Linked DNA regions of Arabidopsis thaliana. The protein of the gene in region 1 purifies or fractionates together with the protein of each later gene. This does not show direct contact. Each region holds a gene or a part of one and is shown in the gene's direction. Other genes may lie near its edges. The genes, in order: AT1G24360, Hop1 and AT4G00600.

What was found.
Region 2: the proteins of AT1G24360 (region 1) and Hop1 fractionate together in Arabidopsis thaliana (co-fractionation; one large-scale study listed by BioGRID). This does not show direct contact.
Region 3: the proteins of AT1G24360 (region 1) and AT4G00600 fractionate together in Arabidopsis thaliana (co-fractionation; one large-scale study listed by BioGRID). This does not show direct contact.

The regions. Positions count from the first base shown.
Region 1 is NC_003070.9:8,638,940-8,642,693, forward strand, and holds the start of AT1G24360 (NAD(P)-binding Rossmann-fold superfamily protein), read left to right. Parts: upstream 1-1,642; 5' UTR 1,643-1,880; coding exon 1,881-2,043; intron 2,044-2,129; coding exon 2,130-2,272; intron 2,273-2,511; coding exon 2,512-2,565; intron 2,566-3,005; coding exon 3,006-3,086; intron 3,087-3,166; coding exon 3,167-3,212; intron 3,213-3,280; coding exon 3,281-3,375; intron 3,376-3,450; coding exon 3,451-3,483; intron 3,484-3,686; coding exon 3,687-3,754. Other genes in the region: AT1G24350 (Acid phosphatase/vanadium-dependent haloperoxidase-related protein), read right to left, coding at 159-233, 430-483, 567-659, 798-848, 935-1,091, 1,244-1,374.
Region 2 is NC_003070.9:4,170,354-4,174,107, forward strand, and holds the start of Hop1 (stress-inducible protein), read left to right. Parts: upstream 1-1,681; 5' UTR 1,682-1,751; coding exon 1,752-2,630; intron 2,631-2,765; coding exon 2,766-3,054; intron 3,055-3,196; coding exon 3,197-3,282; intron 3,283-3,383; coding exon 3,384-3,607; intron 3,608-3,691; coding exon 3,692-3,754. UniProt on the Arabidopsis thaliana protein: Mediates the association of the molecular chaperones HSP70 and HSP90. Mediates nuclear encoded chloroplast preproteins binding to HSP90 prior to chloroplastic sorting.
Region 3 is NC_003075.7:254,920-258,673, reverse strand, and holds AT4G00600 (Amino acid dehydrogenase family protein), read left to right. Parts: upstream 1-2,063; coding exon 2,064-2,322; intron 2,323-2,431; coding exon 2,432-2,529; intron 2,530-2,617; coding exon 2,618-2,854; intron 2,855-2,935; coding exon 2,936-3,103; intron 3,104-3,183; coding exon 3,184-3,354; downstream 3,355-3,754. Other genes in the region: AT4G00610 (DNA-binding storekeeper protein-related transcriptional regulator), read left to right, coding at 731-1,717. UniProt on the Arabidopsis thaliana protein: Catalyzes the oxidation of 5,10-methylenetetrahydrofolate to 5,10-methenyltetrahydrofolate and then the hydrolysis of 5,10-methenyltetrahydrofolate to 10-formyltetrahydrofolate.

The DNA.
Region 1 (3,754 bases):
AATGGTGTTTCACGATTTCTTTACATATGGTAATGGTAATGTTAAACAAGAATAAATATATTTTTAACTCGGATTCGGTTGTAAATCTGTTTTGGTACTCTCCAGTGGCTTCAATAGGCAATGAAGCAGAAGAGTTGTGTCTATGCATGTTCTTGACGTTAGCTTGTAGCTATCCTGAAAAATAAGTATCCGGTGACTGCTGTAGCACTTCCAAGCATTCCACCAGCAACGACCTGAATTCTCAGCAAATGGAAAACAGAATCTGATGAGAACTAGAAATTCATTGATATCAACACGGTTACAAATCAAAGAGTAGTTCATTTATCAACCAAAGTAAACACAAACTAGGGTCTGTTCTAGAGTTCCATCAGCTCACACAAGCCTCCAAAAGACCCTCAACTCTGTTCCCAATTACACGATCCCCCTCACCGATTCCTTCAGCACTCTATTTGTACTCATGATTTCCCCTAACTCTGTAACTATCTTGCTAAATGTAACAGCTAAAAGAATCTCATATCTTGCTAGTCATATATGAAAAGACTTTTTCAAGTCATATGTCTACATACCTGGGGAGGGGTATGACCAAGAAGTTCCCGCAAAGGTCTGCTTTCAGCCAGCGGATGTTCTGCAGGAAGTTCATATACAATCTGATTGAGAACCTGAAAAATGAATCAGACCCCAGAGATCAGGATACCAGAGCTCAAATGCATCATGACAAAACCAATAGTGGTTCTTTTATCAAACCAGTCAAGTTAGAAGATGAAACAAAGGAAAGGTTAGAGCAGCAATGAACAAACCTCAGCTTGACGACCAGCATGTAATCTAACACCGGTAGCATCATACATCACCTACCAACCCAAACCACTCACATATTAATCGTCACTTGATTCCTTAATAGCCAATTTGATTAAACTAGAGAAAGTATCCAACTTACAACAGATGCCAAAATCAAAGCAATGGCAAAATGTGATCCACCAAAGCCTTCTTGTAAACCAATAGCTACAGCGAGAGCTGTAACGGTCGCTGAATGCGAAGAAGGCATTCCTCCAGACCCAATAAGCTGTTTGAGATCCCATCTCCGTTCCCTATACCTACAGAATCTAGGAAACCATGTAAAGATCCTTTCTCATCTAACGTATACTATAATTTCCTATGTACCGTTTCGAACCAAAGATTGAGGAACCAGGCACATATAGATTTAATCGGAGTCTGATCCAAACAGAGATATAAAGAGAGAACGTACCAGGAGGTGAAGAGTTTGATGAATTGAGCGATAGTGAAAGAGGTGACGGCGGAAATGAGAGGATAATTCGTGAAAATGGAGAAATAATGAGTGGAAGACGAAGACGTAGCCGTGGCTGTAGAATCCTCCATGGCCGATGATGGATCTAGTCAGGCTTTAAATCGTGCTAGCGAAAGAAGAAGAAGAAAATGACACCGAAACGACAATGATCCATAAAACGTCGACTAATTCCCTTTCAAACTCCAATGGCGTCTACGTCTACCGTTCAATCCTCTTTGTCTTTCTTTTTTTTTCTTTGACCAATTTTTTTTTTAAACACTGCTCCACAAAACTATATATTATACAATTACCCGCATCCGAACAAATATGAACCGTATCCGATACAAAACCCGAATACCTAGGTCAGTTCTATTCGTGAAATCGAGTCTCCTCTTATTCGACGACCTGCCCCAACTATAAACATGACTTTTACACACTTGACATAACTTCGTTTGTATCGCTTTTTTGAAATTCTATATATTATTATTGTTTGAGCAGAAACTAAGACAAAATTAAGACTTTTCTCTCTTCTTCTTCTCCACTGGGTCGATCTTTACGAGGTTCACTTGTACGGATTCACTTTAACAACAGATTCGCCATGGCCGCCGCCGTCGCAGCACCGAGACTCATCTCCTTGAAAGCCGTCGCGAAGCTAGGTTTCCGTGAGATCTCTCAAATCCGACAATTGGCTCCGCTTCACTCTGCGATACCTCATTTCGGAATGCTGCGATGTAGATCGCGGCAGCCGTTTTCTACCTCTGGTATATTCATTCCTCTTCTCTCTTCCTTTGCGGTTTTGGCATAGATTTGATCTCTCTCAATTCTCAACATTTTTGTGGTATTACAGTTGTGAAAGCTCAAGCTACTGCTACTGAGCAATCACCAGGGGAAGTTGTTCAAAAAGTGGAATCTCCAGTGGTCGTTATCACTGGTGCCTCGAGAGGGATTGGTAAAGCAATTGCTCTAGCCTTGGGTAAAGCTGGCTGCAAGGTTAGGCTTAACACTATTCGGAATATTGGAGCGCCTTGTTGTTAGATTTGATCTGTATATGTACTCTTCGAGCATTCAATTTGCATGATATTACTAGTCTTGAGTTATGAAGATTTTAACACAGGATTGCTTTCAATTTCTTTTGTCATTATAGTGATGGAGACATCAATAGGTTTATATCCGTAATTGCTACACATAAATTTTCTGATCTGGAAGCAAACACTCTGTTTCTGTTGCAGGTCTTGGTGAATTATGCTAGGTCAGCAAAAGAGGCTGAAGAAGTTGCTAAACAGGTGATTCATTGCCCTGGATTAGACTGCAATTTACATGATTCATGCACCAAGTATCTAGAATGGTTTTCAGCTCTTTCCTTCTTTTTCTGCTTCGGGATATCGGTTTAGACCAAATAATGCATAGGTGTTTGGTATGGAAGGATGTTGTTGTTGGTACGAAAATAAATGTGGTACCTTTCGAGTTTAACGTTGATAATACCTTTAAACAGTTTTGGTTTCTGGGACAAGAAATGTAGACAAATGAATTTTCTGGACCTGGAAAATGTTTCTTATTGCCCTATGCTTCTCAAATGCGTTTTGTGATTTTGCTCTTGATCCACACTGCCAAATGAAATATTATCTTTTGGCTAACAAATGTCATCTGCAGTTAATAGTGTTTTCGTTTACAATGTCAACTTATTTCATGTAATCTCTGACATTTCTTCTCTGTGCAACTGTAGATTGAAGAATATGGTGGCCAGGCTATCACTTTTGGGGGTGATGTCTCGAAAGCGACTGATGTGGATGCGATGATGAAAACCGTGAGTGATCAACTGTACACCATCTTATATTCCCTAATCCTTATACATCTTTTCATTTTCCTTTTGTTATTTTTCTGCAGGCTCTTGACAAATGGGGAACCATTGATGTTGTGGTTAACAATGCAGGTAAATGAAAACCTTGGTTCCCATTAAGTTTTACTTAGTACCTTACTGACGTGGCTACATATTTTCAGGAATTACTCGGGATACCTTGTTAATACGAATGAAGCAATCACAATGGGACGAAGTGATTGCTTTGAATCTCACTGGTGTATTTCTCTGTACTCAGGTTTGTATTCCTGCAATACTGCTAAAATTTTGATACTCGGATTTTCAGGGACTGATACTCGTTTACTCTCTTTAGGCAGCAGTAAAGATCATGATGAAGAAAAAAAGGGTAACACTTTTTACTTGTCATATGCCATGTCACCGTCTATATCCTCACACGTTTGTCATTGGTTTTGACATGTTACTCCTTCCCTGAAGCATAGGGAGAAATGATATATAAAAAGACAACTACGTTTTTTTTTTTTTGAGCTCTTCTATAAGATTAAGAAGTGATATTATGACAAGCATAATTCATGGTATACTTAATTGCAGGGAAGAATCATCAATATCTCGTCAGTTGTTGGTCTCATTGGTAATATTGGTCAAGCAAACTACGCAGC
Region 2 (3,754 bases), 4.5 Mb from region 1:
CTAACTCAACAAACTCAACTAATAATGACCTTTAAACAGTTTGGATTATAAATTTATTACCCAATTCAAGAGATAAACAGTAAACCCAGTGACAAGTAGATATCTGAAATTTAAATTTTTTTGAACGGAATTGTTTTTTTAATTCATAGGAACAATTTTTTGGAACATCAATCAGCATATATATGGGTTTTTTTGGGGTCAAATTCAACAGCAAGCATGCATATGGTTTATAAACTTTATATATATGATTTTATTGTCAACCTTTTTTTTTTGGACAAACTGGTTTAATTGTCAACCTATAGATGATATTTCAAGAAAGACTGAATTCTATTTTGAGTTGACTGTATGAGTATGTATGAGTGTAAAAGTCAGCCATTTTGCAGAAACAAATATGCACATCGACGACGACCCTCATGATTTCATAGTTGGCCAGCTCAAGCCGTGTGTCAAATTATTACAAGTTACATTTATTATATTTTCGTTTATATATGCTTTAGAGAATGTAAGATGTAAATGGAAATGGGAGATATGATTGCATTTTGGTTTATATGTCTTCTTCGGAACAATAATACGAAATTATAGTAGTAATCATAAGATAAAGAAATTAATGAACAAAAATTTAAAAAGACTCATATTAAAATAAAGAGGGTAACAAAAGATAATGAAAATAACTCTCTAGATCTAAGCATGATGTGTCTATATACACCGACATTTTTTTCTTTTAATTAAGTGTATTGAAAATAAATTAAATAAGCCATGATTTTGATTTTGCAGTTTCGATTTTGATTTTGATTTTATTTAAAATGCTATATATGAGCCTGGTAACAGGAATGGTCGATGCAGTTTATTTCAATCTCAAGAGCTTACATGTGAAATACACAACTCAATAGCTTTCACTATTTCTTGAACGAAATTGACGAACAAGTAACAAAAAGAAAAATCGAACCGGAGAAGAAATCGTTGGTCTACCAATAACCGGAGTCTCCACGACAGTACAAAACCGACACCGTTTCTTAGTAATTTTATTCTTAAGATACAATATAATTTTATACTCGTATCCAAACAGTCCACACACAACCCCAAAACAAAAGTAAGAAAACTTGTAGACAAAAGTAAACAAAAGTAAACAAAAGTACGATAACAAAACTCTATACTCGTAGACAAACTTCACCGAACGTATTTAGCTAAAGAAAACTTGACCTCAAGATTTTCTTGTCTTCTTTAATCCAGGTGCTTGTAACTATGATTCCATATTACTAAAAACATGCATGTCTCCTTAGCAAAGAAAATCACAAGTAAGAAATGTATCATAATGATGAAAAATGCTATGAGACTGGTAACAAGAAATGGGTGATGAAAACAAATTCAATCTCAAGCAACAGTTCTCACTTAGAAGTGAGATCAGTTCAGGAGCTTTCACTATTTCTTAAATGAACTGAAGAACAAGTGAATACAAAAACAAAATCGAACCGGAGAAATGAAACTCTAAACAATGGAACCGGTGAATAAATCGTGGGTCTGCTGATAACCGGGATTTCCACGACAACACAAAACGACATCGTTTTATAAGATTCTTTATTATTAAACGTAACGAGGATAATTATAAACCCGGACAAATATCCACTAACAAATTCTATCCTCATATCCAAACAGTCCCTCAATTTCTCAAAACCCCAAACAAGTGTTCTTTTCTTATAGAGAGTAGTCTCCCAAGAAGCTGCAGAGACTTGCAAAAATCTCAGATTCAAACAATGGCAGAAGAAGCTAAAGCTAAAGGAAACGCTGCTTTCTCTTCCGGTGACTTCACCACGGCTATAAACCACTTCACCGAAGCCATAGCTCTTGCTCCAACCAATCACGTCCTCTTCTCAAACCGTTCCGCTGCTCACGCGTCGCTTCATCAATACGCCGAAGCTCTCTCCGATGCGAAAGAGACGATTAAACTCAAACCGTATTGGCCTAAAGGTTATAGCCGTCTCGGTGCTGCTCATTTAGGGTTAAACCAGTTTGAGTTAGCCGTCACTGCTTATAAGAAAGGTTTAGATGTCGATCCGACTAACGAGGCGTTGAAATCTGGATTGGCTGATGCGGAGGCGTCTGTTGCTAGGTCACGAGCTGCACCGAATCCGTTTGGTGATGCTTTTCAAGGACCGGAGATGTGGACGAAGCTTACGTCTGATCCTTCGACTAGAGGCTTTTTGCAGCAGCCGGATTTTGTTAACATGATGCAGGAGATTCAGAAGAATCCTAGCAGTCTTAATTTGTATTTGAAGGATCAGAGAGTGATGCAATCTCTTGGAGTTTTATTGAATGTTAAGTTTAGGCCACCGCCGCCTCAGGGAGATGAGGCTGAGGTTCCTGAGTCTGATATGGGTCAGAGTTCTAGTAATGAGCCTGAGGTTGAGAAGAAGAGAGAACCGGAGCCTGAACCGGAACCGGAGGTGACAGAGGAGAAGGAGAAGAAAGAGAGGAAGGAGAAAGCTAAAAAGGAGAAAGAGCTTGGGAATGCTGCGTATAAAAAGAAGGACTTTGAAACTGCTATTCAGCATTATTCTACTGCTATTGAGATTGATGATGAAGACATCTCGTACCTCACAAATCGTGCTGCTGTTTATCTTGAGATGGGAAAGGTATGATTTTCATATGTGTAATGCTCTTTTGTTTTGTCCCTTTATTTGCTGATAGGCTAGAAGCCTAGAATGATGATTTGCTTGTTATGTGCTACAATGGTGATTAGTTTTTAATGTCATTGTGTTTTGATTCAGTACAATGAGTGCATTGAGGATTGTAACAAGGCTGTGGAAAGGGGTAGAGAGCTTAGGTCAGATTACAAGATGGTAGCTAGAGCTTTGACTAGAAAAGGGACTGCTTTGACTAAGATGGCCAAATGCTCGAAAGACTATGAACCTGCCATTGAAGCTTTCCAGAAGGCTCTTACAGAGCACCGTAACCCTGATACGTTGAAGAGACTTAACGATGCGGAAAGAGCAAAGAAAGAGTGGGAACAGAAGCAATATTTCGATCCTAAGCTAGGGGATGAAGAGCGTGAAAAAGGTGATTGCTTTAGCAATTAGTCTCTTTTTTTTTTTTTGTGTGTGTGTGTGTGTGTGTGTGTGGGAAAAGAAAGCTTATAGAACCCTGAAAACAAGAATGAATTAGCGTTTTTACTGCTGCTGTTGTGGTGTATTTAATACAGGTAACGATTTCTTCAAGGAGCAGAAGTATCCTGAGGCCATAAAACATTACACCGAAGCAATCAAAAGGAACCCAAATGACCATAAAGTAAGGGCACTTCATCATATTTATATGTTCTTAAGGTCTTCTACAATGATTTTCTATTCCGACTGTTTGAGCAACTCGTACTTTTTTTGCACCTATGTTAGGCATATAGCAACCGAGCTGCTAGTTACACTAAGCTAGGTGCAATGCCTGAAGGACTAAAGGATGCAGAAAAGTGTATTGAGCTCGATCCAACCTTCTCTAAAGGATACAGCAGAAAAGCTGCAGTCCAATTCTTCCTCAAAGAGTACGACAATGCGATGGAAACATACCAAGCGGGTCTCGAGCATGATCCTAGTAATCAGGAACTTCTTGACGGTGTTAAAAGGTATATACACAGATACACAGAGATTATTAACTTTTCTATCTATTGCCATGAATTTGTTTAATGTGGTTCAAATCTATTCTGCAGATGTGTACAACAAATCAACAAGGCTAATCGCGGAGACCTTACTCCTGAGGAATTGAAAGAGAG
Region 3 (3,754 bases), on another chromosome or scaffold:
GTATAGACTAAACCTTTTCATCCAATTGCTTACGTATTTTCAGATATCCAACTCTTAAGATTTTACTTTTCTGTTCAGCTGATGAGGCGATGGTATTTGATCAAACGGCTGTGGAACTAAGTATCATGCAGGAGATCAGAGTCGAAACTTCAAGAATGGAGAAACTAATCAGTCCTGGTTTAGCAGTAATCCTTTTTGGGGACAGAGAGTTCTCTGAAGAATATAAAGAAATTTAAACTCTAGCATCTTTGCTCCAAAAACAAACTCTATAGAGTTTAAATTTCTTTCTTCTTTTTTACAAAAGAGGGATTATAGTATTATACACCATAAACCCCGTAAAATTAAAAGAAGGTATTCAGTTACCAAAATCGGATTTAGTAGCATTTAGTTTTTTTGAATTTTAAATGTACACCATAAACCCCGTAAAATTAGTCAAAACAATTAATGTGATTTATGATAATTGTAATTAAATAAAAAAGATATTACTCGATTAGTAATTACTGATTAACTGAATCATTGATCTCATTAAACAATTAAAGAAAGATTACTCGATTAGTTAGCATTTAGTTTTAATTTTTTTAATATACTAAAAATACCAATCGGAAATTCAGTTACCAAAATTAGATTTATTAACATTTACTTTTTGAATTTTAGATGTACACCATAAACCCCGTAAAATTGGTCAAAGATTTATGATACTTGTAATTAAGGAAAGAACCAAATGCAATATATGGTTTCGGTGCAAAACCTTAAAACTGACCAACTTCTCAATTTTTTATTTAAAAACCCTACCAAATTTCTCTCTCGTTTCTCTCCGATGGCCAAGAACAAGACTTTGGTTACTCCATCAACGGTGAAGAAGTCATCTGACGTCGCATCTACGTCAAAGAAACTGTCGGGAGTCGCATCTCCAGCGAAGAAACCGTCGGGTGTCACATCTCCGGTCAAGAAGCCGTTGGAAGCCGTCGCATCAACTTCATCTGAGGAGGAGGAGGAAGATGAGCCTTCCAGCGATTCAGAGTCGGGATCGGAGAGTGAGTCTGACACTGAAGCTGAGCCGATGACTCTTGCTGCTGCTGCTCCTTCTTCTTCGAATGAGAAGAGACAAAGTGAAGGAAAACCAGAGGAGGAACGAGCCAAGACTGAAACAGAGACGGGGAAGAAGCCACTGTTGTTTCAGAGATTGTGGACTGATGAAGACGAGATCGTCTTTCTTCAAGGAATGATCAAATTTGCTAAGGATACAGGTAAGAATGTTTCCGAGGACATGAATGGCTTTTTCGAAAAACTTAAAGATTCGATTAGCTTTGAGGTGAAGACTGATCAGTTCGTTAACAAAATCCGGTCTATGAAGAGAAAGTATATTGAGAACAAGAAAACTACTACAGAGCATGATAAGAAGTGTTACGAATTGGCTGAGATAATTTGGGTAAGTGATGGTGATGCTACTGCTCTTGTGAAGCCAAAGAAGAAGAAGCTTAAGGTTGATGAAGAAAGTGATTGGTTCGAGAGGTCGTTTGTTGATGGTGCGTTTAAAGAATTGGGTCCGGGGGTTGATGAAGAGACATGGAAGAAGAATTGGAGTTTGGTACCGGTGAAGAAGAGGAAGAGGATAGAAGAAAAGGTGAAGTCCATGCAAGCTGATGAGCTCAAAACGACGTGGCAGAAGATTGACGTTGTGCATGAGATGAGATCTTTGATGGCTAAATATGTTTAGTCTTTATCTGTTTAGAGATGCATTTGCCTATGTTTTTCTTTTTGGTTTTGTGTTGGAACCTTTATGGCTTTCTCGTTTATTCATATGTTTTATGTTAAAGATGTTTTTTTGGATAACAAAAATAGGTGGTTTTTTGTTTGCATCTTAGTCTTCTTCCTTTGTTACTACAGACATGAAATCGTTAGATAATTATGATATGATATAAACTAATAATGATTCTAGGAGATAATTCCTAATGGATTTAAGATAAGTACATATCTTCTATATCTACCTTTACACACACGTTAACTTAGAAACAATCTACTTTGTTTTCTTCTGTTTGCCTAGTAAACAAATGGCGTCGATGATGTTTACTGATTGCTCCTCCTCCACAACGTCGCGTCTCATCCATTTATACAACCGCAATGGTGTTTTCCTCCCCCGCCCGAGCGTCAGCCAATTCAGCTTACGGACAACTGCGTCTACTTGGCGCTGCACTCTCTCCATTCGCTCCTCTTCTTCTCCATCTGCGATTGTAATTGATGGAAAGGCTGAGGCCAAAAAGATTAGAGATGATATCAAAATCGAAGTTTCAAGAATGAAGGAATCAATCGGTGTGGTTCCTGGTTTAGCAGTAATCCTTGTTGGAAAAGAACAAGGAATCCGCTACTTACGTGAGGAACAAGAAAATAGCTTGTGAATCCGTCGGAATTAAATCAGTCCAAGTTCGTCTAGCTGAAGATTCATCAGAAGAAGAGGTGTTGAAATATGTATCAGGATTCAATGATGATCCTTCTGTTCACGGAGTCCTTGTTCAGTTGCCTCTACCATCGGTAAACAAAGTCTATCTTCATATTCTTCATCATAACTTAAAATAAACAGTAAATTACAACGGTGTTTTGGGATGTCGTGTATATGCAGCATATGGATGAACAGAACATATTGAATGCGGTTAGTATAGAGAAGGACGTTGATGGATTTCACCCGCTAAATATTGGACGGCTTGCCATGCGTGGTAGAGAACCTTTATTCGTTCCATGTACTCCAAAAGGATGCATCGAGTTGTTGCACAGATACAACATTGAATTCAAAGGCAAAAGAGCAGTTGTTATTGGAAGGAGTAACATTGTTGGTATGCCAGCTGCTCTGTTGCTGCAGGTAATGATGATTCCTTCTTCAATATGCCATTTTTTCTGGTTAGGACAACATTCTTTATCGATGTTTATTTTCTAAATGTAGAAGGAGGATGCAACCGTTAGCATTATCCATTCAAGAACCATGAACCCTGAAGAACTCACAAGACAAGCTGATATCCTAATCTCAGCTGTTGGGAAACCAAACATGGTCAGAGGAAGCTGGATAAAACCGGGTGCAGTCCTCATCGATGTTGGGATTAAACCTGTTGAGGTGAGTGGAATTTTTTGACATATGGTAGTATAATGAATGATCAAATCAAATACAGTATGTGAAAGTAATATGAATTGCAGGATCCAAGTGCTGCCGGTGGAGAGCGGTTGGTTGGAGACATTTGCTATGTGGAGGCTAGCAAAATTGCATCAGCCATCACACCTGTTCCTGGTGATGTAGGACCAATGACCATAGCCATGCTTCTATCCAACACTTTAACATCAGCCAAGAGAATTCACAACTTCCAGTGACTTCAAAGATGATTGCTCGCCTTTTTTTAAATAAACAAATCTTACTTTGGTTTTTTGAAGCCAATGATTTTTGCTTAGCGTTAAGTCAGAAATAATATTATTTCGGTTCTTGTTCTTTGATTTTAGAGGTTACCTTATCCAGATTGTGAGTTCCCTGATTATCTTGCGGCTTTGCTAGATAATTATTTGGATCTTTATAAGTTTGTGTGTGAGCTTTTGTTCATTTTGGGAGTAGAACTACCATGAAGCAACTGTGGTGATTGGCAAAAGCATTTTTGCTTTATCAAATGTATCTTTTAACGTAATGTAAGTCTTGGAAGATAGCTTAAGGATGAAGTCATTACGATTGATGTTGGAAGTCATTTTGGTGTGTCCCATGACTCCTATGTTACAGATTCTG